Diceros bicornis minor: one gene and its partners. The protein of the gene in region 2 purifies or fractionates together with the protein of the main gene of each other region. This does not show direct contact. Links are inferred from orthologs where the notes say so. Each region holds a gene or a part of one and is shown on either strand. Other genes may lie near its edges.

Region 1 (7,947 bases), on a different chromosome or scaffold from region 2:
TACACGTGGGACCTCATCCACTTGAGTCGCACAGCAGAGTGCCTATCTGCTGAACAGGCAGCTAGTGGAAACTCCAAAGAGACCCAACTATGGGTGGCATAAAAAACTCCGTTTGGTTCTGACTTCTTTTCAGTCACCGAAGGATTTATTTGCATCAAAAGCATTTCTTATTTTTATTTTAAATATAATTTGCAATTGTACACCCCAACAGGTCTGGTAATTCATATACTAGGTATGACTACAAAGCTTAAACATCTCAGGTAACTGTCAAGTCTTCTGAACCAAAAAACATCACCTATTTCTTCACCCTTACACAAAATGTGTTGCACTACAATCAAGTTTAAACTGAAAAGTAACTCTAGTCAATAAATATTTCTCCAGGTTAGTCTAACTGGCTGAGCCCAATGGAACTGAGTTCACGTCATGGGTGAGATGCCCGTGGGGAAGCACAGTTCTGCTGTTTCTGCTGCACACTGCTAGACCGGTCACACTAGCGTGTGCTCTCTCCTTGTCTCTGTGGACTATCAGGTCAGTGTCTAGAGATACCAATCCAAGTCCACGGTTTCTTGACTGATGCGGAGTCTAAAACGTACAGAAATAAAGTTAGATACATACATTTCAGATCCTCTATATTCAGAAGCTTTTTCTTCATTTTCTTGAGAATCTGTGAAATCCAAGGCTCTCTTAGTTTCCTTTTTCTGAAAAAACTTCAAGGAAAGTCTGTTTTTCTTTGAGGGACTTCCTCTTGAAAGCCCATTACTCTCACTGGGTATGACACCAGGCATCTTCTCTTCAAATCCCAAGGAGTTGACAAGAATTAATTTATGCAGGGATGTTGTAATCAACAATCATATCTGTTAATCACAGAGAAGACCTTTCATTAGTTTTCAGTTATCAGCTGTAGGCAAAAAAATCAATATTGAAAACAAATTTACCAACGAATGTTACTAACTAGATCTTCATGTTTGAAAACTTAGTGCCTGGCAGTAATAGGCACTCAATGTTTACTGCTTAAATGAAGGAGCTTGCCCTTTGTCTTTAACTTTCTTAAACAACAAAAAATATCAGATACTGAACTTTGATTAGCCTATTAGATTAAGGGTCACATCACAAAATACCCCATTTTTGTAAACCTGCAATAAAGTAGTAGTATTTAGTAAAAACTCAACTTTTATTATAATTAATTCATTCAGAAAATATTAACAAGCAAGTACCATCGCTAATTCTAAAGTAGGAGGTGCAGGGGCCCGCCCGGTGGTGCAGGCAGTTAAGTTCTTGTGCTCCGCTGCAGCGGCCGGGGGTTCACAGGTTCAGATCCCAGGCGCACAGAGAGACAGCGCTTGTCAGGCCATGCTGTGGCAGCGTCCCATACAAAGTGGAGGAAGATGGGCACGGATGTTAGCCCAGGGCCAGTCTTCCTCAGCAAAAAAAAAAGAGGAGGAGGATTGGCATTGGATGTGAGCTCACGGCTGATCTTCCTCACAAAAAATAATAAAGTAGGAGGTGGAGACAGACAAATGAATGGGAAATCAAAGGAGTGCTGAAAGTCCTCCTTCTAGACCTTTCCTCCTTGATAATATGAATACATGAAATGAAATCTCTAAAAACTTCAAAGTGTAACTTGCATACAAAAAAGACACAGATCTGGTGTTCAGTGGTACCTAAAAACTTGAGTGGAAAGTAGTAAAGCGTCAGCTGGGATGGCGGTGTAAAAAACTGCTGCACTTTGTGCATATGCACTAGAAACCACAATACACTGATTTTCCAAACATTTCTTTAAACTACAGATTTAAAAAAATATATTGCTTTGAATAGAGAAAAAGATAATTTAGTTTGCCTGTTGCAACCTTTCTTTCCTGCTTTAGAGTAAGAAACTTCTGGACGGAGGGAAAAAATGGCAGTCTCGGCGGTAGTTATTCTACACCGCGCTGCTATTCTTCCGTTAGGAAGTCGGGGCCAACGAGCCGAGCGGCGTTTCACCAGCGGCTCACTCAGAGCCCCAAGCTCGGCGGACGCAGAGCCGCCCGAAGGGCCGCCGCCCGGGGCACGCGCGACCCGGGCTCGGCTCGGGGCAGCGGCGCGCTGACCGACGCCCTCCCTCCGCGAGTGCGGGCGGCGGCCCGGCCCGCGGTGCCGGGGCCCAGCGTGCGCGCGGCCGCCTCACGACGACGGGAACGGGGTCGTCCGCGGACGGCAGCGGAACGGGCACGCGGGGGCGACCCAGCAGCCCAGACGGCCGGCCGCCGCCCCTCCTCGCCGCCCCGCTCCCCGGAAGCAGGGGCCGCCCCAGCACGGCCCGCCGCCCCGCCCGCCCGCCCGCCGCGGCTCCTCGGCCGCGCCGCCCGGCCCGAGGCGTTACCGCACAGCCCGCTCCGGGGCCCACGGCGCGCGCCCACACGTGGCGTCCCGCGAACTTCCAGGACAGCCGCGGCGACGGCGAGCAGCGCCGGCCGGGACGCCCGAGCGCCCGCCGGGGACCCCGGGCCCTCACCTGGGCGCGGCCCACGCAGGTGCGCGGCGGGGTCCGCGGGGAGCCCGACCGGGAGGCCGGCCGCACCGTGCGCACGGGAGGCCGCTCGGGCCGCCTACATCCCGGCCGCCACCGCCGCCGCCGGGTCCCGGGTCCGCGCCCCGCCGACGGGAACTTGGCGCGTTTTCCTCCGTCAGGACCCCGCGCCGCCGCCCCCGCCGCGCCCCGAGGGGCGGCCTGCCCGCGCGCCGGCTCCGCCGCCCGCGCCGCGCCCACGCCGGACGCCGGGGCCGCCCCGCGCCCGCCAATCGCGCCCCGGGCACGCGCGGACGGCGGGGCCGAGGGGGACGCCGCGCTCCCCCGGCCGCCCCCGGGCTCCGCGCCACCGCGCCGCGCAGGCAGCGCCGCGGGCAGCCGCGGGTCCTCCGAGGGCGCGCCGCCGCTCCGGCCGTGCGGGCGGGCTCGAGCTCACGCCCTGCGCTGTTTTTCTTCCACTTTAACCATTCGTGCGCGCGAGGCGAGGACGGCGTACGGGTCGGGAGACGGGACAGAGGCACGCTGGGCCGGGCCGCTCGCTCGGGAGGAGCCGCCCGGCGCTCAAATCCACCAATCCGTGGTGACGAGCCCCCAAGCCCGGCCCCCCTGCCTGGTAGGAGCCAATCAGAAGTAACGAGGCGGAAGCCAATTGGGTGGCGGGGAAGGAAGTCCAGCCAATAACAAGAGGGGAAAGGACGGGCGCGCTTCCCCTCTTCCAGCTCTCATTGGCGCTCGAGGGCGCGCTTTCGCTGCCGGCGTTCAGTCCCGCTTCCGGGTGAGGCCTTCGCCGTTGGCCCCGCCCCTTTCTCGTCCGCTCGTGGGCGGGGCTGCGGGGCGAGACTGGGAGGACGGCGGCACGCCGCCGGGCGCTCGCGCTTTCCTAGGAGCTCGCGCCGCGGGGCCACACGTAAAAACGGGCACGCTGCCGGCCGAGCACCGCAGGGCGGGGCCCCCGCCTCCGCCCTCATCGTGTCCCCGTCCCCGCCGGCGCGGACATGGGCGCCGGGGCCGCTCTCCTCAGAGCGCCGTCCGGTCCGCGCTCGCGGCGCCCGCTGGGGCCGGGCGTCCCCGAGGCCGGGGACGCGGCGAGAGGGCGTGCGTCCGCCGCCCGCGGGGGCGGAGCGTGCAGGCAGCGCTTGGCCGCGGTCACACGTCGGAGCGCGGGGAGCGCGCCCCCTCAGATACCCGCGTCCCCCAGGCCGCGCCGCTCCCCCGGGCGCACCGGAGCGGGGCTCAGGAGCGCAGCGGCTCGTGGCGTCCGAGCGGATGGTCCGGCCACGTCCTCACGCTCGACGCTCGGCTTTGGGAGGAGCAGGCCTGGTGCTGGGGCTCCCGTGAGCTAGGTGCGCGCGTCCCGGGGCCCGGGGTCTAGGTGCGCGGGGCCCAGGGTACGGGTTCTAGGTGTGCGCGTCCCGGGGCAGGAGGTCTAGGTGCGCGCGTCCCGGGGCCCGGGGTCTAGGTTCGGGGGCACGGGGGTCTAGGTGTGCGCGTACTGGGGCAGGAGGTCTAGGTGCGCGGGGCACGGGGCGCGGTGAGCTAGGAGTGAGAATGTGCCGTTGAGAATGCGGCGGGGAGAGAGATGGGAGTCCTGGGTGGCTTTGAGGTAGAGAGTGATAGTTGTCAAGTGGCTGCTGTGGTGGGTAGACTGTGGACCTTAAAAAGTGCCACCCACGGACTAAATCATGGTGGCTTGGAATGAGGTGGCAGCAGGGGAAATGTTGGAAACTGGTGGGATTCAGAATGTGTTTTAAATAGACCCAACAGGACCTGCTGATGGATTGTAGAAAAAAAGATAAAAATGACAAGGATTTTTTTTTCTTTTACCAAAGCACCTGGGTAGCAGTTGGTCCTTGCTAAAATGGGGAACACTGGGGTAGTCGTGGCTTTGGTGGGAGGGGCTGTTGTTTTTAGACATTAAGATTGAGATGCCTATTTCACATGCAAATAGTGACGTGGAGCCAGGAGATAGCAAGTTTCAAGCTCAGTGGAGAATTTAGATCAGGGGATGTAAATTGGGGAGTCATGAAATGGTGTGTAAAATCATGAGACTGTAAGAAATCACGTAGAGTGATAATATTTATGCTCCAGAGTCTGCAGGGCATTGAGACCTCTTGCCTTGTCAAGCCACGAATCATAAATCCAAATAACTGCTCCTTAATTTGTCCATCTTAGAATCAATATCCATGCCAAATACCCATTGTAAGAGTGAGACTTATAAAGCTCCTGATCACACCATGACACGCACAGCGATCTGTAAGCTGCCTAAAGAGAAAATCCTGCTATCATTTGGTAAAATAGGCTCAAAACTCGTTTTTTTACCATACTTTCAAGGGATTGATAATTCCTATTTGAGAGCAAAATAGAAAGCTTATTTTGAGACCAGTACAGTGTTGATACCCCAAACAGACAAGGGCAGAATTAGAAATATAATGATAGTCAGTCCCCGAGTTTGCCATTGTGTACCACGGACTGGAGTGTCTTCTTCTGTAGTCCTAGCAGAGTCATTGCCGTTTTCAGACTCTGCCAGGACAGGTAACCAATTCTAGTTTCCTATTCTAGCTTTCCTGTCTCAGTTGAGATCCTGTTGTCTGCAGCTGCTATTCTTCCTGTACGATTTATAGTGTCAGTTGAGGTTCAGTTACAGAGAATAGAAACCATTCCCTTGGTATCGGCATGAAGAGTAGTGAATGCTTAGTTAGGAATGTGGATTAAATAGACCTAAGATTCGATTTTCAGGAATGAGGCCACCAAGGGAGCAGTGACCCTTCTGCGATCAGGAAATGATGACTTCTGAACTATGCTGTTCCGGCAGTGCCCAGGAAACCACGACCGTCAGAAAGCTGCACGCTCCACCCACTGCGATCTACACCCGCACGATGCGTGTGCTGCGTCCTGCCTGTCAGGGCCACGGGCCCAGTGGCGGGGCACTGAGACTCCTGCTTGTGCTGCTTCAGAAATAACCAGCTCCACACGGCTGGGCGCAGCAGCAGCGGTAGCACAGGGATGCATGTCAGGCTTGCTGTGTCTCCGGCAACGTAATTCATGCAAAAAGTTAAAAGGTTTCTGATCCTTTGCTTTCGCTCAGTTCTGTGTGGGGGAAGTTAGGGCTACAGTCTTGACCAAATACAGTCTTTAAGCCCAAAGACCTGACCTTTCATTTCCTGGCATCTGTGTGCTGCTACCTCACTCGTGATGACCGCTCACTTGGGGGCGTCTGCACAAGGGGTCTAACAGGCTGGCAGCATTCTTACTCCGTATTTCTCAGCCGTGTGTGGCTGCGTGTCAGGCGTATTTCCTTCCAAGGCTTTTGTTCACAGATGCTGTTTCTGCGTGCTTCAATTTAGAGGTGTAGAAGTAGCTGGGTTTTTTCAGCCATTTAAGGCTCCAGATTATGGGATTCTTCATCCACTTAGATTACAGACAGAGTTCCCCTCTTAGCAAAGCTGTATTCCTTTCCATCCTTACTTGCAGATCAGCTAGCTCTGGCCTGAGTTCATCTCTCATAGAACTTTGCTAAAAGTGGCAAGAAAAAGCCACCAAATACCAAGTTTATAAATTTTTCCAATTATTTCCCTTCATGCCACAAATACCTTGCCGCTGGACAACAAGGGTCACCAGTTTTCCATCTTGCCATATCTGAGTCCTTACCACCCACTGCCCAAATGCTTCCACTAAGCCACGACCACATTTCTTTTAAGGTTGTGTTATATGCAGCACAAATTTATAGGGATCAAGTTCTGCATCAGATAGGAATAGGTTGATTTATGAGAAGCAGAATATTTTTTTAAGTGTCCTTAGCCGAGATGAACATTTATTTGTCACATAGAGTGCAGAGATAGGAGTCTAGATGAGTATAGTGATTCCGTGACCATCAGGGACCTAATTACTACCTCCATTCTCAACAAGTAGCTTCTACCTTATGGTCCAGTATGGCTGCTTAAGTTCCAGCCATCATGTCTACATTCTAATAAGCAGGAAAGAGAAAAGGAAAAAGATCACGCCGCCTCCCTTTAAGGATACTTCCTGGAAGTTGTGAACCCCATTCTTGCTTATAACCCATGGGTCAGAGCGAGGTCATTTTGTTAACAGACTGTTAACTTGATTCTGGGTCCCCATATGTCCAATTAGAGGTCGTCAAGGAAGAAAGATAGAACGGATATTAGGGGGCAGATAGCATTCTCTGCTATGCTTCCCCTTACCTGATTAAAAGATTTGCCTAGCTGGGGGAGCAGAAGATAAAAAAAGGACTAAGTAGGTCTTTTGGTTTTTTGGGAAAGAGAATGTGCTGGCTATTTCTGTTTCCCTAGTAGCAGATATGGAGATGTGCTGCCCAGATCACCCTTCAGGGAAGGACTTGTTCCCAAGCTGCAGGGTGTGCCTCCAGCTGTCAGCTCCTCAGGGTCTTGCCCAAGGTCATGCCTGTCCAGGGAAGCCTACACCGGGTGATTCAGCAAGCCTGGGATATAAAGGCTCAGCCGCTCTGGCCTGCCACCGGGCGCCTCCGATATGCTGTGTTCACTCCAGAGCTCCTGGGCAGTCGGCCAAAGCCTTGTTGGACCTGTGCTGGAATTTGACTTCGTTCTCTGCGCAGTCCTGCTTCCTCTCCCTTCCTCATCTTGTATGCTCTGTTCCAGCGTCTGCTTCCTGAAAACCCTCCCTGCCACAGCTGGTACCGGGGTTGGTTGGAGAAAGCGGGCATAAGCTGGGAGCTGGATTATGGGCCACCTGGCTGGCTGTAGGTGAGGCACCGACAGCCCCTGGCACGAGGTGGTGGTCCGATTCAGATGGTGTGCCGGGTGGGAGGGAACACTAGAGTTGTGATGTATCAGGCTCTTGAGATGTGTGGCAGTAACAGCGATAAGGGAATAGAATTGGATGGCTATTGCTGAGCGCCACTGGTTACAGAAGAATAATGAACAGCTGAGGGTGGGTGATAGGCAACTGCTGGTCAGGTGTGAAAGCCAGAGCACCTCTGTCGCTCACAGAAGCTCTCATCAGCAGGGAGAGGGAGAACGCCGAGCACCAAGACCAGAGCTTCAGAGTGGTTGAAAGACACTCTGCCCCAAATGGCAGGTTTTTGTGCCAAAGTGAGGGCCATGGTTGAGAAGATCTAGCATTCTGAGACATGGAGGGGACATCTGGGTGGTGCTCCTGAAGAGTTTGATTCCTCGGGCCCCTTGGATGCCTGCAGTGTGGCTCGCCCCTCCCCACTAAGAGCTTCACTTTCCCATGCTGGAAGATTGTGCAGAGGCTTCTAACGAAGGCAACATGTTCTCTCCCCTAGCAGCCACACCCCCTCCACCAGCTTTCTGGCCACTGGGCCTGTAATTAGGGTTACGTCATGGCATAACCCAGTTGGGAGGTGCTGTGCCTGATGATGGAGGTCAAGGACTATTCCCCAAAGAAGGTGCAAGACCTAGCCAGCATGTACCACCAGGAGC
Region 2 (7,390 bases):
AGTCATGTCATTCAGTTGGTACATTATCTTCAGATACTGCAAAAGCTATCGTATTATGATACAGTTTTCTTTACAAGGTAAAAATCCACCAGAAATCCACTTGAATTACAGAAAAACTTCAATGAAACTTAAAAGAACATCTCACCAGGAATTCTACTGGTCTTGCATATTTCATTGTGAGAGTAAAGATTTCTTCATTCAAACTGACTAAACTGCCAGTAAGACACAAGTTGTACCAAAAACATATTAAATTAGAAGGAATAGCTACAGATTAATGAAGTAACAAGTATGATTATTTTTCCACCATCACCTACAACCTAGAATAGTAAAGCTGGAGAAGATATAACTCGTCTGATTTAATTTTGCTATACTAACTTCATTTTAAATAAAATTCCTTATCATTAAGAAGATAATTCTTCAAACCAGAGCAGGAAAAGGATGCAAACAATTTATAACGCTCAAATATAACAACCAGCTTCTATAGCTCCCTAATTTAGTATCTGCCAAGTCACCTCTAGTCAAGAATTTGATCTATGTCAACTATATCTCAATAAAGCTGGAATAAATAAATAACAGAAAAACAAAAAAGGATTTTAATCTAGAACTGAAAAAAGAATGAGAAGGACTTCACATCTCAAGAGACAGTAACCACTTAAAGTCTTAGTGTGATCCCTATTCCTAGTCACATTGCAATGGTCAGTTCTGGCTATAAAGGCTGAAAATAAGAAATGAGAAAGAAATAGGCAAAATCACTTTCAATGCAAGAATGAAACTTGCAGAGGAGATTGAAATAAAGCAAAAAAGAGCTGGGGAAAAGTATCACTAAAAAGGATCATATTTGTTAGGTTTCTAACGAGGACTAAACGGGCAAATAAGACTGACAGAGAGCTGAACGAGGGCACCGGGTGACAAGGAACGAGCTGCTGGGGGGGGGGTATGTTACAGCTGGAATAGCAACTGGGGACAGGCCAATGTAGGGAGACAGTTGTAGGGCGTTTTTGTTGGTCATTTCCCTCTGTCGGTACTATGTGAACATGGTAGGTTACCTGAAAATCCCAGACTGCCTCAAACCCAACATGCCCATGAGGACCGGCCCAAAGGCAGCACCTTCATTGTTGAATGGACCACTGCCTCTTCCAGTCTATGCTTCCCCTACTTCCTGGTGCTTCTGCCACCTCCTTCACCTCACTTCCCAACCTCTGAGCCCTCAAGATTGACACAACTCGCGGATTCTAAAATTGCTCAACTTAGTATTGCACAGACTCTACGCGAAAGCTGTACAAAAGTAACAAAGACTCCGGAGGACCTGCGCTTACTCTTGGGTTGGGCCACCAGACGGCCAATTTGCCTCATTTCTGGGGACCTGAGTGTTGACACCCACCCCCCAAGGCGCAGGGGAGCTCCTTACCTGCATAGAAGCGGATGAGGCAGCCGATCTCCGAGTCCATGCCTTCCTCCTGCACCCTCCACAGCTCCCCAAACCCCAGCTGGAAGAGGTAGTCATTTTGGATCTGCAATGGCTTCTCGTCCGCCTCCAGGCGCCGGGTGGTCTCTCCGTGGAGCTGCACATAGAGGGTAGGCGGCGGCGGCGCCTTCTCTGCGGTGGCCCCTGTCCCACCCGGGGTCGACGGGGAGCGGCCAGGGGCTGCAGCTGCTGTCGCCTTCTCCTCCCGAGGCCGATCGCGGGCGGTCCCGGCGGGGCCGTCAACACCCCTCGGGGCTTTCGGCTGCGGCGGCGGCGGGGAGGCCGTCGGGGAAGGCGGCCGGGCGCCCGCTCCGGGCCGGGGCTGCACGGAGCGGCCGGGCAGGCGGGGCTGGACCGGAGACCCCATCGGGGCCGGGGCGGGGTCGGCCTCAAGCTCCTCGGACGACGACGAGGAGCCGCCGCCGCTGCTGTAGGGGTCCAGCTGGTCGGACACGCTCTCGGCGCTGGGGCTAAGGCTGAAGCTCTCGGTGTCCGAGGCCGGGCCCGCGGCCGCGCCGTCCAAGGCCCGCGGGGTGCCCGGCTCGCCGGGGCTGGAGTCCGAGGGCGCGGGGCTGGCGTGGGAGGCTCCGCGCGTCCACCCGGCCGGGCGGCCGCCGGGCAGCGGCAGGTCGGCGGGAGGCGCGCGCGGCGGGCCCCCGACAGCAGGCAGCCCGCTCCGCCCGGGCGGTGGCCCCAAGTCCCGCGGCTCGGCGGGCGCCAGCCGAGGGCCGGCGTCGGGGCGCGGCTCGGCGCCCAGCACCTTCACCACGCCGCCGCCTTTGTGGCCCAGCTGGAGCAGGCGGGCGGCCACCTCGCCGGCCGTGGTGTCCAGCGTGCAGAGCACCGGGCGCAGGTAGGTCGAGGCCATGTGACGGTCGAAGACGTGCACGCAGCCCCGCCGGAGCTGGTGCCTCACCCAGTCCCGGTCCGACGGCTGCAGCTGCAGCATCTGCCGGTGCTTCAGGAGCAGCGTCTTCCTGTCCAGGCTCCGGGTGCACAGCGACGCCGAGGCCGAGCAGGAGGCGGACAGGCCGGCGGCGCCCGGGGAGTGCGAGGCGGCCGAGGACGACGACGACGAGGACGACGACGACGAGGCGGCGGCGGCCACGGACAGATTCCTCTTCAGCCGCCCCCTCCTCAGCAGGAGGGAGTTGGCGCCGCCGCCGGCCCCCGGCCCCGGGGCAGCCCCGCCGGCGGTGGGCTGGGGCGCGCCGCGCCGCCTCCTGCGCCCCGCGCCTCCCGCCCTGCCCGGCAGCGGCCCCGGCTGCGCCTCGCCGGGGGCCTCTTCCCTCGCCCCGCCGCTCGGGGCCGCCGGGGTCAGCGCGGGCTCCGGGCTCCGGCCGCCGCCGGCCGCCGCCGCCAGAGCCGCCGCCGCCAGAGCCGCCGCGGCCGCTGCGGTCGCCGCCGGAGCCGGAGCCCGGTCCTCCCCGCTGGGCTCCGGGAGTCGCTGCGCCGTCGCCGCGGCGGCGGGCTCCATTGCAGTGGGGCTTCGCGTTTCCCCCCCAGCTCCGGAGGCAGCGGGCGGAGAGGGCGGCGGAGAGGCGAAGGTGGGAGACGGCGGCGGCGGCGGCGGCGCGGGGAGAAGGGAGAAGCCAATGGCGTTCGGCGCGGCCGTTCCAGGGGATTATGTGGCAATTCGGAGCATTCCGTCGGTGTCTCGGTGTTCCATCCCGCGCGCCCGCCCGCCGGCCTCGCCGCCCCGGTCGCGGGCTCCCGAGCGCAGGCCCCGCCCGCTCCCCCCACCTCACCCCGGCGAACCAGCCGCGAAGCTGGGCTTATTGAATATTAATCACGTGCTGGGAGCGGGAAAGCGGGAGGCAGGCGGGGCGGAGCTCCACGCAGGCCTCATGAATATGCATCGCGAGCATGACGGCATTCCAGGGAGGAGTGGGAAGAGCCGGAGGACGCGAGGAGGCGGGACTTCAGGGTAAACAAACGTTACGCGTGCGTACGAGGGAGGGGCGCGGGGCAGTTTCCCGGGAGGTTCCTGAACGGGCCTCAGAGAGGGGGCGACAGAGAAGAGAGGTGCGCGCGGTCCACCTTGGGAGTTGTAGTTCTAGTGCGCAGAGGGCATGCCTGAGGGAAAGACGGGGAACTACAAGCCCCAGAGATCCTTAGGTTACGCCCCTCCTTGCATCCAGCCGATGGCGGTGGACAGTGTGTACTGTGCCCTCTGCTGTTGAACTCTGTGCCCGGGAATGTTCTTGTTCATTAACTTGTAACCAACTCGCCCACTCCCCCTCCCCAGAAGACTTTCGTTTTTCCTGGTAATTGAAAGCGAGTGCTTTGAGGGACTGTAAGCGATACAAAGGTCTCCAGTCTTTGGTCCTTACCCCGACCCATTGTATGAGAGATAAATACACAGACAGCGCACCGCGGGATAACTGGCCGTCGAAGCGGACCAACCTCACCTTTCCCCCACTTTTTTAAGGCCTGGGAAGACAGGCAGTGTCTGGAAATTCTGACTTGGACCACTGTTGAATATGCTTGGTGGAAATCGTGCAACCCCGAGCCAATCCTCTCCCTCATATCGGAGAAGGAAAAAGGCAAAGGGCTGGGATGGCATTTTTCCCATTGATCTTAAAGTTTGAAGTAACTTAATGACACGGAAAGCAGTGGAAAGTGGAAGATACGTTGGAATGGAGACATGGTGGGATATGAGATGGCCTGGTCCTGTCTGTTCTCTTTTAGGTCTTCCCTTGTGTTTTGTTTCAGAAAAAAATTATTTTCTGCTACAATGTTTCGTTGTGGTCTGAAAAGTCGCTCTTTCTTGTCAGTTAAAACAATATTGTAGGCTAGACTAGGGTAGTTTACTATTTAAAAGAATTTAATAAGCCTTTTTCATTGAATTACCATTACCTCGACTTGTTGAAATGTGAAATTTTTCAACTGCATACTATCCAGGGCCTGTCTTAACTTAAAGTTCCTAAACTTGGGAGTGAGTGGGGGAGAAAGGGAAAAAGAGAGAGAGGGAAGAAAGGAAGGAGAGAGAAAGACAGAGAGATAAAGTGGAGCTTGTAACTGAAATAGAAATTGATAAAGGCAAGGCAAGTCATACTTAGGTTATCTACATAGTTTCATTGAAGAGGAATTGGAGGTAGCTGGTAGGACAAAAAAATAAATATTTCTCTTGATTCTTGAAATTTCTGAAAATGATTTTGTATATTTTTTTTTGAAGCCCTACTTCTTGGCCTCATGAAATTAATTTTTATTCCATCTCAATTCCATCAACAGCACAAAGTTCTATTTTTTAAATTCGGGAGAATGCAAATTCTCTCAAGAGAGATACGATAGTCGAGTCAATTAATTTAACAAATAATTATAAACATTTTATATACCAGTCACCATGTTACAACAGTTGAATAAATCAGACACTGTCCTTGCCTTCATAGAGTTTATAGATTAGGAAGAAAGACATTCAACAAGTGAGAGGGATGTAGGGGAGGGGAAAATAGAAGGTGCCATGGACAGAGACAAAAATAAAACAAGGGGAACTGACCTAGCCTAGGAAGTCAGACAACAGAGACCTAACTTTGGATGAAGTTTTCTGGAAGGAATGAAACTGAGTACTTGATGAAGAATTGGTCTCTGAAAGAAAGCAAAGAGGCAGAGAAAGAGGTAAGATATTAAAGATAAATTTCAACTACGCTAATCCGTATGTTGCCTTGAGTGGCCCCTAAACAAACTATTAGTTTTAGAAATGAAAAGAATGGTATTTTAATTTAGCCTTCCTTTAATAAGATTAAAAAACAAAGAGCATGTTAGATTTCGGTACTAAAACATGGGCTGTTTATATCTCTTTGTATTTGTTAGTTCCTTAATTGATTTCCTACAAACCTCTTTAATTTTTGCTATGTTAAGAAACATATATTGACTCCCAAATATCTGCTTTCTAGAGTTATATTTCTTTAGCTAATGTAACAAACTCAAGGAAAGTTTGTTCTTAATCATAAATACTGTCACCATTGGCCCAATGTCCATTTGCATCCTCTCTAAGAAATTATACTCCTGTACTTAATCTAGCCCTGGTTCCTGTCATTTAGCTTTACACAGTCACCATGACTCTGCCTGTTTATCCTCTAGGAATTTTGTTTACTCTTTGAAGGTATCTGTAACCAAAACACCTCCTCCAAAGGGGAAAAAAATTAAAGAAAAAGCATTGCTCAGAGAACTTAGTACCCGAAGTATTGGAGGGGGGAGGGGTTGGGGAGTCATCATACACACCTGTCAGACTTGGTACGGGGGATTTCTAAGTTGGGAGGAGGAGAGAAATAATTAATAATGGTAAAGTATCTCAACATGAAGAAAAATGAAATACATTCCAGCCTCAAAGGACAGTGTGTTGGGGGGCGGGGGGTAGGCAAGAAAGTAGAATATAATTTCTGCATAGAGAAACTATTTCATGCGTAGTGTCCATAATCTGAAAGACTCCATATTCCATTGTATCCAGAATAATAAAAATCAGAGTTGAGAGGAGAGCAGAAAAGCAAGGGTCCACTGTGAGATCATCCCTTGCTCCATCTTCAAATCTTTAATGAAATTACTAAACTTGGGCGTGAGAGGAGAGAGAGAAAGAAAATGAGAGTTCGTCAAGAATAGGCTAGTCCCCTTAACACCACATCAACTGGAACCTTGTAGTTGAAATAACAGATATTGATAAGGCCAGTGAAACTTGTACTAAGAACTTGCTAGTATTGTGGAACATCATCCAGACCATCTGAGTCAACCCACTATACAACTTCTCTGACTAAGAAAGGATTTCAGTAGAGGACAAATGTTTTCCAGACACTCATGAAACAGCAGCTTCTCCTACTTAAAAGTAGGGTGAGGAATAGGCTAGTATCCCGAAACCATGTAACTAGCTCATGAATGCCCCCACCCTTTGAAGTGTTCCAAATGTACAATCTAATACCACATTTCTGACTAGCCAGGCTTTCCAAAGAATCACATCTTAAAATGCTAAAAGATAATCCTGAAAAGAAACAACAGATGTAAAAGTTGCAAACCCTGATGCCAACTTGTTAAAATATTTTCACAGCTAAGTATAGAAAAAGAGAACATCATTTTCAATTTACTGCCACAGTTTATTTTATGCTGTGTGATTTATAACTGACTTGCTGTGTTTTGCATCTAGGTTAATCCTGTTTTCGTCCTTAGATCCAAGATAAAAGAAACTATCTTTGGAATTTTTTTCTAATATAAGCAGTCGGAATTTTAATGGAGACATAAATTGATAGCTGGGATGGTTTCAGTCTGAATTATTAAGGGCTCAGCTGTGTCCAGAAATAAACTCAGAAAGATGCAATATACAATGTAATACATTTAGTTAGTACATTATGAACAAGGAATCTAATTATAGTTTCACATTTTTGTATCCCTTGAGCTACTAGTGGTTTACCATGCCTAAATTGCTCACTATTTACTCATGCTTTTTTACTAGGAGGGACTCATTTAGCAAATTACTGCTCTAGTGTACTAAATGGGCCCCAGGTGGCCAAACTGAATTCATATGTTCCCTGCTCACTGCAGGATGAGACCTTCTGGGCTCTCTAAAGCCTTACCCCTCCCTCACATAACTTATCATTTGAACTCCATCAAGAACTTAGATTGCCACTATCATTTTAGGTAGTCTGCTTTATAGATACGGCTTGATAGCTTTTCATATTTTAGTGCACACTTTTTAATCCCATAATTCTTTGTCTTTTTCTTGTTTGTCACATCCTGTCTCACAGAAATAAATAGATGTATTCTATGTCACGACAATAAAGTATTAAACCAAGAAATAGAGACCATGTAATCCCACCATTTCTGGTAACAATGTAAATTACCAGGGACATTCATTTAACAGGTATTTATTGAACTTTTATGCATAGGCACCGTTTACACCCAGTAAATAGTATAGACAAAAATACCTCTTCTAAGGAA
Region 3 (7,647 bases), on a different chromosome or scaffold from region 2:
ATTATTACCAATTATTTAGTAATTAACATTTACCTGTTCATCTTTCTGAGAAGGTCATCTCAAGTTTTAAAAAGAACATTTCCTCAACACAGCTGCTTCTTATCATGATCATCCTCCACACCACCAGTTTCTGATTCAGGTCTGCAGTGGGTCCTGAGAATTTGCATTTCTAACAAGTTCCCAGATGATGCTGCTGCAGCTGGTATGGGGACTGCACTTTTGAGAACCACTGTTCCACAGTACTAGACTAAGAGTCAGGAAACGTGTGACCTAAGGCTCCCATTCTGCCTCTAACTGGCAGTATACATCTCTATGACAGATCACCTGGATTTCTTGGGGTCTGTTTTCTTCTGTAAAACAGATGGGTAAGGAGTACTGGACTACAGGAGTCATAAGGACTTTCAGTAGACGGGGCGGGGGGGAGGGCGGGGGGGGTGGTGGTGGAGGTGGAGGGGGGAGCCGGGGGTGGTGTCCAAGAATTTGCATTTCTAATGAGTCCCCAGGTGATGCTGATACTACTGGTCCAAGAGCCACACTTTAAGAACCAAGGTACAGAAGCTAACCACATTCCTACTCTATGCAATTTCACTCCTAGTTATATACACCCAAAAGAAAGGAGTGCATGTGTTCACCAAAATACATGAGAAAATTCACAGTGGCTTTATTCATACTAGCTAATAACTAAAAATAACCCAAATATCCATTACTAGAATAGTGCTATATTTATAAAATGGAATACTATATAGTAACAGAACTACCATTTCACACAATAATATGGATGTACCTCACATAATGTTTAGAGCAAGACAGAGTACCCACACTCAACTAAGTACCTAGTTTATGATTCTGTTTATATGAAGTTCAATAACAAGCAAAACTAACAGATGGTGATGGAGGCCAGAATAGGGGTCACCTGGTGGGTAAGGGGAATTATTGGCTGGGAAGAGGCAAGAGGAAGCTCTGAGGATGGAAGTGTTCTATATCCAGCTGGGTGGTAAACACGTATGTAAAACTACAACTTCATTAGTTGCAGACTTAAGATTTGTGTTATTTACATCTATCATACTTCAAAAAACAAATTTAAAAAGTAAAATAAGTGAGATGGAAAGTAACAATGAAATTCATTACATTAATATCCTTTAAAAGCAACTTTCATATAAACTGTATTTTCAAAAGAGGAATTGGGCCTAAAAGGACCATAACAAACATAGATCCTGAAAACTAATAGCTGTCTAGCTGACGTAAAGAATTGTGGAGAGGGCTGGCCCCGTGGCTTAGCAGTTAAGTGCGCGCGCTCCGCTGCTGGCGGCCCGGGGTTCGGATCCCGGGCGCGCTCCGACGCACCGCTTCTCCGGCCATGCTGAGGCCACTTCCCACATACAGCAACTAGAAGGATGTGCACCTGTGACATACAACTATCTACTGGGGCTTTGGGGGAACAAATAACTAAATAAATAAAATTATTAAAAAAAAAAAAGAATTGTGAAGAAATTCTCAGTGCCTCCTGTAACATTATTCTAACACTGATCCCAGAAGCCTCACTAGGAAACATCACAGCACAACTGACTAACCAACGACTTTAACTGAAGGCCTAAATACCCAGATCCAAAAAACACACTGACCTAAAAGGCCCTACGGGACCTAGCCCCTGGTTTCCTCCACACCTCATCCATTACTCCTCTTTCATCCCACTCTAGTTAAATGTGCCTTTTTGCTGCTCCTTGTACAAGCCAACTTCATTCCTACCTCAGGATCTTTGCACTGGCTCTTCTTTCTGCCTGAAATGCTCTTTCCCCAGAGCTTCCGAACTCATTCCCTCATGTCTCTGCTCAAATGTCACCTCCTCAGAGAGACTCTACTACCCACGTGGCAAATTTCTTTTAGAAGTCATAACTAGGAAAATGGTTCTCTAACTCAAATTGCTAACCTTGCCTATATTAGATTGTAACAAGGAAACAAGGTTTCCTCTTTTCTGTGCTTCAAAGCAAGAAACCTCTGGCTACATCTTGTGACCCACTGCATCATGTATCCTCAGTTTAGATTCTCTTTATTACTTTTAATTAGTATTTTACTCTTGCTCTTATACTTTCCTTTACAGCTCTACAGCCTTTCACTGCACACAAAGTACTGTGTAAGTCAATTAAATACATAAAGGAGATTCTAATCCATAGCAATCAGTGCCTTGCACACAGCAACTTCCAAAATATTGTTTCGATGAATAAACAAATGAGTGCGTAATGAATAGTGACAGGACATCTGGAACTTTTCAGGGACATACGGGAAAAGGTTTTTGTTCCAGTAGTCTGAGTTCACACAGGCACTTAGCACAGCACCTGTACGTGAGAATGGCAAGAACGATGGTCAAATGAAAAACCGAATTAACAAGTATCATCAAGCCTAGATTTCACTTTTTCGTCGTCACAAATGCCATTTAAAAAAAAAGAAAAACCCTTTCAGGCCAACTATGGATGTCAACTATGCCCCCAAGAAACAGAGGTCTTTCTAAGAAGCTGCAAGGATGCAGGAAGGGTCTAGGAGTAAGAGGGGACAAGAAGAGGGATCTAGGGTAACGGGGCCACTGTGGGTCAGAGAAAGGAGAGGCGGAGGCTGTCAATATTAGGGCTGAGACACAGGGAAAACGGCAGCCCGAGTCCCAGAAAGGCAACGCTGGGAAGAGGCGGGGTCGGCCAGAACCCGTCGCGGCCGCGTTCCCCTAAGGAGGGTGGAGGAAGCTCAGACCGGCTCTCTCACCTCTAACGCCGCCTGGGGGTCCTCGTCGATCAGAGCATCTGAGAAGCTCCGGAAAAACCTGCCAGGAAAACAACGACTTCAGCACGGCTCACTAGCCGAGGAGAAAAAGGGGATAAAAATACACAGCAAAGAGAAGAAAAAGCACGCACCTCTGGGCTGTTGCAGGTCCTGCTGCAGCCGCCGCCATCCCTAACACTCACGGGTACTGCAGCTGGAGCTGCTACTACAGAGGTTAACAGCTTCGTCGCCGCCCAAGGAGGAAACTTCTGGAGAAACACCAACCGCGCTTCCGTCCTAAGCAGCCAACGAGCAGCCACACAGTGTACCGCGGCGGAAGGGGAGGCGAAAAGCAGGCGCGGGGCCGGCTGGGACGGTGGAGGACCAAGTCTCCCGGCCCGGCCCCCGGTCTCGTGACCAGCGCTCCCAGTTCCCGCCCCTCGCAGCCATGGTTACGGAGGCCTCCGCTGTTCACGTTCCCTCCTCTTCGCGCGTCCGCCCTCCCACAGAGCCTTCCGAGGGAATAGCTCAAAAGCGCATTTGGAACGTATTGTTATCCCTCTGGAACGTGTGGCGTTTGGTGCGTTTGTGTGCCAGCTAATAGCACAAGGCACGTAGAGCTCCATTTTCACCACAGTGCACATCATGGCGACCAGAGGCAGCCAAGCCTTTCGTGACCCGTGACGTCATTCGCTGCTACGTATTCTTTTGCGGGAGCACAGTTGCGGATTGCGCGCCGATCCGGGATCTTTGCGCTGGGACCCATAAGGGACTAGGACTCGCCGGAAGTCATTTTGCCTTTGCAGAAACTAGCCAGAAGGAAGCCTTTTGGTTCCGGGGCGGGTGTACTGTTTTATTGCCCAGAACGCCACAGGACCAGATGGACTGATTTTGCTTCCCAGTTGACTTCCCAGATAGAAAAGAAAAACCTGTACCATCCCAAGGCGCTGAAGGGAGGAAGGTGGCCTGAAGTTGTCTGAGTGCTGCTTTCCTTTCCAACCTAGTCGGTCAGGCCCTCCTTCACCGCCCTTTTATCCATGCAGATCAAATAGAAGCTTCCAGCAGATTCCCTGGGACGGACGTGGAAGAACAGAAGGGAGTGGGAGTAAGCGGCTCGGTCAGTAGAGATAAACAAGTAAATGAACTTGAGTGTCTGCTATGTCCAAAATCTAAACTAAGCCCAGGGATTCAAAGAGGTTAATGCCCTCCAGAAACTTAAACCAGTTCTAACTGCTAAAATGAAAAAAGGGGAATAGTCACGTGATGGCAAGGAGGGTACCCCTTGCTAAATTAGCCCAATATAAGGTATAGGGATGAATTCCTCAAAGATATGATACCTGAGCCTCAGCCTGGAAGGATGAACTAGAATTAGTGAAGGAAATGGAAAAGGCATTGCAGGCAGAACAGGGTGTGAGTTAGAAAACGATAATGGGAACTCTAAAATTGGTAGAGCCAAAATTCATATTGGAAGCAGACTGGCTGGAGAGGTAGGTAAATGCCACGTCATAAAGGGCTAGGTGTGGTCTGGTCTGCTGAGAAGCTTGGATGTTATTCTCTGAGTTATGCTAACCCATTAAAGGATTTTTAATCACCAAAGGCAATAAGTCAAATTTGCATTTTTTAAGTATATTATTCTCTCTGTGCTATGGAAGAATGATTAAAGGGAAAAGGAGAGTAGTTGTTGAGAGACAACGGCTGTATTACAGGCCAAAGTGACTCTCTTAAATAGGTCAGGGATACAGAGGAAGGTAAGAATTACAGAAATATTTGAAGTAAAAGTATCTGGGTTTGCTGATCCTTTGTTTTTTAATGATCAGTGCTTTTTGTATCATTTATAATGAGGCTTTGCCTATTCGAAGGCCATGAAGATATTCTTACGTATTTTCTCCTAGATGCTTTATTATTTTATCTTTCAACTCCAGGTCTGTGATTTATCTCAAATTAATTTTTGTGAAAGTATGAGGTTGGGATCAAGGTTCATTTTTCCTCTGTATGGATATGCAGTTGACCCAGCCCTACTTATTGGGGAAAAAAAAGACAGTGAGTTGAAGCCTTGTCATTGTCTACGTCACACAGCTGGGCTTGCCTTGGAGCCCTGCCCCTCGCTGGGTCCTGCTCCTGCTCTCCCGACCCTGCGTGGCCCCCATTCATCCTCCGTGGCGGCCATCAACATCCCCTTGTCGGTTAGGTGAGACTTAAGCGTGTTGAAGATGTGGAGCTGCTGATCTGGCAGCAAGGTCAGGAACTGCTGAATCAGCTTGCTCGGATTCGGGCCCCTGATAAAACTGGCGATGTACACATTGACAAAGGTGGCCATCAGATACTGGCAGTCAAAGCGATCCATGATGCCTCCATGGCCAGGAATGGTGTTGGCAAAGTCTTTGATTTATCATTTCCTCCCATAAATTCTTATGGCTCCTTTGTTGTAAAGTAGGTGACCACATATATGTGGGTCTATTTCCAGGTTCTCACTCCACTGGTCTGTGTCTAACCTTGTAACGGTACCATACTGTCTTAATTAACATAGCTTTATAATGAGTCTTGAAGTCCTGTAACTTTTTGTTTGTTTTTGTGAGGAAGATTGGCCCTGAGCTAACATCTGTTGCCAATCCTCCTCTTTTTGCTTGAGGAAGATTGTCACTGAGCTAACATCTGTGCCAATCTTCCCCTATTTTGTATAAGCAGCATGGCTTGATGAGCGGTGCATAGGTCCACGCCCAGGCTCTGAACCTATGAACCCTGGGCCACCCAAGCGCAGTGCACGAACTTAACCGCTACACCACCGGCTGGCCCCAAGTCCTGTAACTTCTTCACGAGTGCCTTGGCTATTCTAAGTGTTTTGCATTTTCAATATTTTATACATTTTATAAAATTTATTTCAATTTATAAGTTTTAGAATGAGCTTGTCAATTTCCAACAAAAAAACAAAACCCTGCCAAGATTTTAATCAGGCTTGCATTGGATCTATAGATCTATTTGGGGAGGCCGGCCCCATGGCTTAGCGGTTAAGTGCACGCGCTCCGCTACTGGCGGCCTGGGTTCGGATCCTGGGCGCACACCAACGCACCGCTTATCCAGCCATGCTGAGGCCAGTCCCACATACAGCAACTAGAAGAATGTGCAACTATGACATACAACTATCTACTGGGGCTTTGGGGAAAAAAAAGGAGGAGAATTGGCAATAGATGTTAGCTCAGAGCTGGTCTTCCTCAGCAAAAAAAAGGAGGATTAGCATGGATGTTAGCTCAGGGCTGATCTTTCTCACAAAAAAAAGATCTATTTGGGGAAAACTGACGTCTTAATATTGAGTCCTCCAATCCATGAATATTATACACTCCTCCATTTATTTAAGTGGTCTTTAATTTCTTTCAGCAGTGTTTTGTAGATTGCACTGTAGAGGTCTTACATATCTTTCATTAGATCTATTCTTGGGTATTTAATTTTTTTATGCTATTTTAAACGACATTTAAAAATTTTTATACTCTACTTGTTTGTTGCTAGTATATAGAAACACTACTGATTTTTACATATTGACCTTATATTCAGCCATCTTGCTGAATTCCCTTATTTCTAATACTTTGTAGATTCTTTTAGAATTTCTATGATCACAATTTTGTCATCTGAATAAAGATGGTTTAATGTATTCCTGTGCAATGATTATACCTTTTCTTTCTTTTTCTTGCTGTCTGTCACTGGCTAGGATGTCTACTATAGTGTTGAATAGAAGTAATGATAATGGACTTCCTGTCTTGGTTGTAACATCAGGAGAAAACAATATGAAATGCTTTTTCTTTATTTAGTGAAATATTCATATTTATTTTTTCTTTAATATGTTAATGTTCTCCAAATGGCCAATATGCATCTGAAAAGAAATTCTACATCAATAGCTATACAGGGATATTAAAATCATAATTCATAATCATAACACTCCCACCAGAATGGTTAAATTAAAAGGAATTCCACTACCAATCATTGGCAAGGATATGGAGCAAGAACCTATAACTTTCATATATTGTTGGGGGAAGTATAAATTGGTATAACTACTTGAGAAAATTTTTTGACACTATCTGTTAAAGCTAGTCATACAAATACTCTCTTACCCAATACTTCTACCATTGGATGTGTACCCAAGAGAAAAGAGTACTTATGTTCATATACAAGAATATTGATTGCAGCATTATTCACAGTAGCAAAAACTGGAAATAACCTAAATGTCCTTTCATAGGAGAAAGATACTACAGAGCAGTGATTAAGAAAGAACTACCAGTACACACAACAATATGGACGAACTAATCTGTGCAGAAATAGAAGTATAATGATGTACACCTGAAATTTATACAGTTATAAACCAATGTTACCACAATAAAAAAGGAAAAGAAAAAAAAAATGGATGAAACTTACAAAGAAAATGTTGAGTTAAAGAAGCCAGACAGTATATTTTGATTGATTCCATTTATATAAAGATAAAAAAACTATTTTGAGGGACATCAGAGGGTGATCATGTGGCTGGGAAGGGCCATGCGGAGCTTTCTTGCATGTGGGAAACGTTACATATCTTGATCTGAGCGGTAATTAGACCAATGTATTCAGATGTAAAATTTTATCAAGTTGTACACTTAAGATTTGTGCACTTTATGCATCAATAAAATAGGAAGGGGAAAATTTAAAACAAAATCAGCAACAATCAGAATTTGAAATTTAAAAAACCATGACATTTACAATAGCATCAAAAATATTAAACACTGAAAAATAAATCTGATAAAGTATGTGCAAAATGTATACATTGAAAATTACAAAGCATTGCTGAGAGAAATTAAAGAAAACCTAAACAAATGGAATGGCACTCTATGTTCATGAATCAGAAGAGTCAATATTGTTAAGATATCAGTTCTCAAATGG
Region 4 (7,543 bases), on a different chromosome or scaffold from region 2:
ATTTTCACACGTAAGCAGAACAACAGTGATCTAGAATAAGACATATCTGAAGAGATTTGCCTTGAACAGAGTTACTCAACCCAATAAAGATATCGCTGATTTGCCCACGTACCTTACGTTGACAAATGAAAAAAAATTATGTAAACTTGATTAATTCCAATTCATCATCCACGCTTTCACAGCTGCTGATTCTCTGAGAAGCATCACTCTATTTAGGCTCAGCCCTCTTCTCTCCTCTCCACTCCATCTCATCCATGCTTAACCAAACTCACTTCCCTCAGATAGCCAGGAGGAGAATGAAGAACTCTGGGAAACTCTGTTATTGTATGCAGTAGTTAGTGCTCCACCAAACCGCAGAAATAAACGATAGTCATTCCCCTTAATGCCTTCAGAATCCAATAAGGCGATAAGAGAAAAATTTACAACACAGTAAGTATGATTAAGAGCTACCAAAATTACAAAAATGCTGTGAAATTCTATGAGGGGGGTGGAAGATGGGGATGGACAGGGTGGGATTATTCAGGTCAGTCTCCCTGCTTGAGACAGAGGCATGAACTCGCCAGACAAGGGTGAGGGGGGCGCTCACAGCCTAGAAAAATAGCATCTACCAAGGCTTGGAGGTAAATATCTTTGCTTTTCTTGATTGTTAATTTTGTAATTCTCAGATGAGCTGCAGTTTTCTTGAAAGAAAAGACTGCACATTACTTTGAGATGTTTAGCATTATTTTGGGAGCACATTAGAATTTATTTGAATATGAATATAGACACACCCAATTTTAACACTACTTCTGGAACAATCTCATTTGGCCAGGCAGATATTTCTGTATTTGCCAACAATACACACACACCACATACAATTAACGCACCTGAGTGGAAGCCCAAGGAAGAGCTTTGGAGTCCGACACTCTCGAGATCAGAACCCCACTTACTCAGTGTCTGACTTAGCAAATCTCTCTGTGCCTCATTTTCCTAATCTGATCACAGCACATATTATATTTATTAATAAGTTTACTTGAATATTGTTTGTCTCCCTCAACTAGAATGTACACACCATGAAAGCAAGGGCTGTCCTGATCTCTGCTGTATCCTCAGCACAGGCTCTAGCACTCAGTAGGTGCTAAAAGTATACCTGACATACTGGAGTGGAAGACTGGTCAGTAAAGAACGACACATCACTCCTGAAACCCCAGACTCCCACAGTGAACTATGACCTGACAATCTGTGCAGCTCAGCAATCTGGCAAGATCAGCACTTTCAAAGACTTAATTATCACATTCCTTTTAAAACAGATTAATAATTGGCTTATCTAAAAATAATCCAAATGAACCTTGGCAATCTTTTTAATATAGTCCCTTTAATATCAATGCTTTCCTGAAATGCAAATTGTGAGAAAAAAAACAAACATCCATTTGGGAAAATGGAAGTCTTCAATGATCCATTCAATATGATTTAATACTGTAGATTTTAACCCCACCTGATTTCAGCCATTTTTTATACTGTCCCTCTGCGTGCAGTACAGAATTTGCTTCTAAACCATCTTTCCGATCTGATTCACCACTCCTTAAAGTATATAAAATGTATATATAGGTATATAAATGTATATATACGCATATAAAGATACATAAAATGTACCGCCCTTAAACCGAAGATTGCTTGGGGATCTCCTACATGCAATCGGGTGCATAAAAAGGGCTAGTAAGACATAAAACAGAAGGAAAGATTTCAGAAGTCTTTAATAGCATAATCACTAGGCCCACGTTGCAAAGGATAACTTTCTTCTGTGACGGCTCATAATTATGATCCCTAGACGTAAGCTCATTAAGGAGCTAACGAAACGAATTTGCCCCATCGTGTGGAAGACTGTGGTCCTTCCGGCCAAGCACAAAAACACCAAGATTGAAACGCACGCACGTTTTGCTTAAATCGGAACTTTTCGACAGGCATTAGCACTTTTCCCTTAAAGTCTATTTAAAAGCCCCAATAAAACACACACAATAACCCTCGCAGTCAGTTCCTGCACAGAAATACTTTAAGCCACACAGAGATGTGGCTGGGGTATTAAAGTAAACAAACGACAGGAAAGCTTAAGCTGTTTTACAAGATTAACGTGGATTCCCAAAGACAAGACTGCCACCTGGACACATGGCTGGAAAAGGGAGAGCTCGTTCCTCTGAGAAAGAGTAGAAGATGGGAAAAATTTCAACAGCACTTATTTAAAGTTTCCACCTTCACACACACCCCCTTCCCCTCAGCAGCGGGTGGGGGACTCGGCCTCGCCAGAGGCGCGGGGAGAAAATGTGCACTTGACTTCCGTCCTCTCCTGGGCAGGAACGAGACCCTGCCTCCGGCCGGCAGCCCCCATCCCGGCCCAGGGACCCCTCCCGCCTGGCGCACCGCCGGACGGAAATGGACAGCGCGCCGCCCGCGTCCTTCCCCCTCCGACCCCAGCCCGGGCCGCGCTCCAGCCCCCGGGCGCCGCGCCTCTCCGCTCGGCCGGGGGCGCTGGCCCCGTGCCCGCCCCCGCCACGTCCAGCACGGCCACCCCCTCGCTAGTCACCCTCGCGCCGCGCCGGCTCGCCTACGCCTGGCCCCTTCCCGGGGCCGCTCATCCCCCGCGCTCCCCGCCCGCCCGCCGCCGTCCAACCGCCCCCGCCCGCCTCGCCGCCCCCCGCCCGGGCCGCGGGGCCCCGCGCTAGGCCCCGCGGGCGGCCCGGCGGACGGGCGGAGACCCGGGCTGCGCCGCCGGGCCGGCCGGCCGCCCGCCCGCGGGGGTCCCGGCCGTCCCCGGCCGCCCTCCCGACGCACCTACCATGGTACAGATGGAGGCGAATTTGGAGACTGTCATTAGGATTTCCATCCGCCCAGCGCCATCTTCCACCCAATCACAGCGGCGGCAGCGGGCGGGGGAGGAGGGGAGCCGGGCCGCCCGCTCGCACCGCAGCCCGCGGGCGGACCCCGAGCCGCCGCGGACCCGCGCACCGAGCCTGCTCTGCCGCCGCTGCCGTCGTCACCCCCGGCGCTCCGGCACTCCCCGCCCCGGGCCCCAGCCCCCGCCTGCCGGCCGCCCGCCCCTGGCTCCTCCCCGGCGCAGGGCGCAGCCGCTGCCTCGGGGCCCGCGCCTGCCCGCGAAGCCGCCCGCCGCACACTCCGCCCAGCGCGCTGGGGAGCGGGCTCCGCCGGGGCCCTAATGCCCGGCCTGCCCGGCAGCGGCGCGGCCCCGCGGCGCGCCCCGCCCACCGGCCGCGCGGCCCCGCGGCCCCGCCCACCCCTGCGCACGCCGCCCCGGCCCTGGAGCGCGCGAGCCGGGAAACTCCGGCGCCCGCCCCACTCCGAGCTCGAGCGGGGCGGGGGCTCGGCGGGCGCCGCCTCCTGCCCGCGTCCCTCGCGGTCCTAGAGCCCGTGGGCCGACTCAGCCCTGGCTGCGAGAGGGGCCCCGGGGGAGGCTCCAGTCGCTGCAGGGTAGGCGGCAGCCGTCTGGTTCAATGCTGGAAGGGACTGACCCGCAGCCTCTGCCGAAGGCGCGGGGACAGCTAGTCCCCACTTCGAAACGAAAACGGAGACCATGGTCTGGATAATTCTGGGAGCGGTGGAAAGAAACCTGCTTCTATATGGTTAAAATAGGTTAAAATAACCCGGGTAATGCAATGTCCCAAACACTTAAAATGTAAAGTGGTTTCTGTTTACATATGTTGGGTGAATCACCTGGGTCAAAACACCATAACGGCGAAAGTCAAATTAATAGAATAAAAATGAAAGAGATAAGAAACTATGTATGTTTAGCTCTTTGAATTAAGAAGAAAGGTAAGTAATGGAGCAGAGGGACGAAGCTGCCTTCCCGCCTGCCTTTTGGCCATAAATTTAGAAAATGTTTATAAATAGAGTATCTAAGTATATTTGTTCTTAAAGTTGAGTTGCAAAATAGGGAAGATTTGCACTCAGCAGTGACGATGATATTACCAGAGACAAGAAGTCTCGCAAGTGAGAAAAACGTACTGTGAGAAAGTCTTAACCCAGTGTTAGCTAGTGGGATAGCCCCTCTTTTCGAGGTTTGTAAAATTCTTCATTGCACCCTGCTCTTTGTGTCAGGCAGCTTAGCTTGATTTCTTCCTGTTTGAGAAAGTCGTTCAAGCTAGTAGAATAACTTTATAAATTATTATGTTAGAAAGCTTGTGGTATTTCTCAATTGGTGAACTGTAATGATGGGGTGCTTTTTGGAGTTCCACCATTTCAGTGGGGCTGAGGGCCTGAATTCAGACAAAGCTCCAAAATCAGATATGCCTTACCTCACAGATTCAAAGCATTCAAAAAACAAAACACAGCATTCAAATAAAATTTAGGTGAAAAATAGATTTCTGGTACATGAATGCTGTTTCCATAGTGATTTCCATTATAAGCTTGCTTGGGGAAAAAAATTGCAAATAGAATATAGCCAAGTCCCAGAGCAGCTGTCCTGGTTCTCCAGGCACCTGCCTCCACGGAAGCTGGGGCCCTCCCTCTTTGCCCTGATACCCAAGCGGGTGGCTAGGACCATGTGCTTCACTGCCACACATTCAGCTGTATGGAGTGCTTGCCTCCCTGTTGCCCTCCCTAGACTTAGAAGTATCACCCACCTGAGTTCTTTCTTGCTGTGTTCCATCCTGCTTAGATCTCCAGAGCCTGCCTGGGCCCCATACCAGTGTCACCACGGCCCTGGATCCTATCTGTCTCACCTACTTGGATAAATGTCTGTTGTCATCCTGTCCTCCCCACTTGCTATTCTGTTCCAGCAAACAGGTCTAATGTGCCAGAATTTGAGCCCTGCCTCCGTCTATGCTGCCCACCAACATGCCTCCTTGTCTGTGAATCCTAAAAAGTCACAGGAACAGAGGCCACCAGCTTCACACATAAGTTTATAGAAGAATGAGTCCTATTTAAAATGGATTTCTAATAGAATTATCTGGAATTGTGTCTAGTTGGTGTTATAGCTGTCTAACTTTGCAGGTGAGATCCTAATTGCAGAACCTCACAATGCCTCGTGTCCTGAGCCTAAGGTTGACTGAAGAGGCATGAGCGTAAGAGAGATTCCTCTGTGTGCTGGGCACTGTACTGGGGGTTTTACCATATGTAATGCAGTTGAAGATAAGGTTTGGCTGCAACACCACATTTTGCACCCAGAGCTGGGAATAGGTCATCTGGGCTTAGAACACAGCTTTTACCTGCAACTGTATCAGTTTTACAAAGAACTTCATTGTGCCTAGGGAAAGATGGGTTTGTGTACAACTGACTTCTTTTGGGCCTTCCTGAGTGGGTAAACTACAAAATATACTCAGATAACTTCATGGACTGAGGAAGTAAACAAACTGGGGCCAAGCTTAATCCATTCGGTCAGCCTACTGTTTTAAAATTGATTCATTTGAATACTTTTACACAATCCTGTACTGTCCAGTTCCTCGCAGGCCGCTTCATGTTTTCTGTTACTCATCCTGTCTCCCGTTAACCACACGTCACTTCTTGTGTTTCTGCCACCTCTCTTCTCCCTGAAGGAATTCGGTTTTGTACCAGCTAACAGAAATGACTGAAATGCCTGTGTTGTGGGGGTTGGGGGGAGTGTGGGGCGGGGGCGTAAGACATCCATAATGACAGGTAGTGCTTATTGAGGACTTGTCTGTGCACCAAGCATTTTATGAAGTCCTCATAACAACCCAGTGACGTATTTCCCCATTTTCTAGGTGAGAAAAGGCACAGAGATAACTTACCCAAGGTTGCACAACTAGTAAGCGATGGAACCAGGATTTGAACCTAGCTCCAGAGGCCACACTTGCATCCACTCTGCTATACCAGCTCGTGTTCAAGTACCTCATTTTGATTCTAGTGGGATGAGGTTGAGAGGCACTGACTCCTTAGGGACCCACATGCAGATTTTAGCTATAAAATATACTCAAATAGTATTTCTTTGTCTCAGTTTCCTCATCTGGAAAATAAAGGTAATGATTATGTCTACCTCAGAGGGGTGTAACGAGGATAAAACATGGAGGTGTGTTTAGAATAGTGCCCATCACTCAACACAAACTGGAGAGCTCTGAATGGCCAAAGTCAACAGTTTTAAAGTCAGAGTGGGCAAACACAGCCCTCAGGCTGTCAGTTTATGCCCTCAGATTGAATGAGCCTCTGCTGTGTGCCAGGCACCTAATTAGTACTTCAGATGCGTTCTCTAATGTAACCTTCCAGTGCCCCTGGAGCTCCATCATCCATGCTCATTTTACCACTTTCACCATGACGCTGCTCAGCCTGTGCAGAGCACGGTCCACACTCACACACTCTGACTGTGAAACTCATGATCTCTCCCCTTCTTTCCCCTGCCCTTTGACAGCTGAATGAACCAACCTTCTTGGTGGCTTTAATTAACATCATCCAGCTGTCCAGAGGTAGATGTTAATCAACACAGTGATGTTCTTCTGTTGGTTTGAATCAACAGACCAGTGATTGACTTTTCAAGGCTGACTTCCCGTTCAGAGGATAGTCGAGTCATCTGCACAATGGATGTATGACTTTGATTTGCTGGGGAGGATGGTGTATAGCTAATATATCTAAAACTTTGTCATTATTTAAATCTAGGTTTAAAAGAGAAGGACCAAAGGCATAGCCATATTATACTCTGTTTAAAACTGAAATCTGAGTTCGTTCATTAAAACAAGTATCTGTTGATCACCTACTGATGAATAAGAAAAATCTTTGCCCTCAGGGAGCACACAGTCCATTGGGGTAGACAGATGATTTTTATGGAAAATGAGCTGATAAAATGAAGGACCAACTGCTGTCAGCTCTAAGTGGGGTGGGACTAGCTCTACCTGCAGGGGGGACAAGCTGAGGGCAGCTTCACCAACTGGAAGAATAGGATGAACAGTGATGGGGGAGGGGAAGGCAGTGGTCTCTGGGGCAGAGGGAAAGTCACGCACAGACACTGAGGAAGCCTGGAATATGTCTAAGGCTGCAGCACAGGCATGTTGCAGGGAGTTTGGAGAAGAGTGTGGAATGTTAAGGGGGCATTGTGACCCACAGTGACACCAGCAAAGCTCATGGTCTCTGGGATCTCTACTGTCATATCCCCATCACTAATAAATGGTAGTATCAGCCTACCTTAAAACCTGTTCCTCGTTCTTCATAATCTTAATTTGGATTCCCAGTCCTGCAATTTGTTCAGACTAAACATGGCAGAGAATTTCAAGGAGACATCAAACTAACAGGTCTATAACTGGGGAGAAAACCTTGACTTCTGGTGAGTGCCGAAGTAAGCCAGAATACTTTCTATGTGTACTTAGCTCTTTATTTAGCAAGGTCTGACTAGAGGAGACTACCCACTTGCTGGGGAGGAGGATGCAATCATTCAGCTGTTTGGAACAAGTTCAGAAGTTGCTGAGCTTAACTTGAGAAGGGGACACCTTTTCAGATGCTATCATTAGCCACCCCTTTCTTCTGTGAAAAGAAGAGAACAGAGAGAGAGAGACATAAAGTGTAGAACGCACGGACAACCTTGGATACAAGCATGATCCATTCTGGTCATGCA

The links.
Region 1: the proteins of PHLPP1 (region 2) and USP1 purify together in Homo sapiens (affinity purification with mass spectrometry; 6 studies listed by BioGRID and IntAct, counting the BioPlex papers as one, with this or other methods). This does not show direct contact. The link is inferred for Diceros bicornis minor from reciprocal best matches to the Homo sapiens genes PHLPP1 and USP1.
Region 3: the proteins of PHLPP1 (region 2) and SUGT1 purify together in Homo sapiens (affinity purification with mass spectrometry; 5 studies listed by BioGRID and IntAct, with this or other methods). This does not show direct contact. The link is inferred for Diceros bicornis minor from reciprocal best matches to the Homo sapiens genes PHLPP1 and SUGT1.
Region 4: the proteins of PHLPP1 (region 2) and USP12 purify together in Homo sapiens (affinity purification with mass spectrometry; 4 studies listed by BioGRID and IntAct, with this or other methods). This does not show direct contact. The link is inferred for Diceros bicornis minor from reciprocal best matches to the Homo sapiens genes PHLPP1 and USP12.

The regions. Positions count from the first base shown.
Region 1 is NC_080743.1:1,996,169-2,004,115, reverse strand, and holds the start of USP1 (ubiquitin carboxyl-terminal hydrolase 1), read right to left. Parts: upstream 3,002-7,947; 5' UTR 2,492-3,001; intron 1,403-2,491; exon of another isoform or gene 1,215-1,402; intron 855-1,214; 5' UTR 786-854; coding exon 616-785; intron 1-615. UniProt on the Homo sapiens protein: Negative regulator of DNA damage repair which specifically deubiquitinates monoubiquitinated FANCD2. Also involved in PCNA-mediated translesion synthesis (TLS) by deubiquitinating monoubiquitinated PCNA.
Region 2 is NC_080755.1:53,316,419-53,323,808, reverse strand, and holds the start of PHLPP1 (PH domain leucine-rich repeat-containing protein phosphatase 1), read right to left. Parts: upstream 3,014-7,390; 5' UTR 2,943-3,013; coding exon 1,409-2,942; intron 1-1,408. UniProt on the Homo sapiens protein: Protein phosphatase involved in regulation of Akt and PKC signaling.
Region 3 is NC_080748.1:35,358,510-35,366,156, reverse strand, and holds the start of SUGT1 (protein SGT1 homolog), read right to left. Parts: upstream 3,015-7,647; 5' UTR 2,939-3,014; coding exon 2,901-2,938; intron 2,810-2,900; coding exon 2,752-2,809; intron 1-2,751. UniProt on the Homo sapiens protein: May play a role in ubiquitination and subsequent proteasomal degradation of target proteins.
Region 4 is NC_080748.1:10,498,879-10,506,421, forward strand, and holds the start of USP12 (ubiquitin carboxyl-terminal hydrolase 12), read right to left. Parts: upstream 3,004-7,543; 5' UTR 2,858-3,003; coding exon 2,810-2,857; intron 1-2,809. UniProt on the Homo sapiens protein: Deubiquitinating enzyme that plays various roles in the regulation of the immune response and inflammation.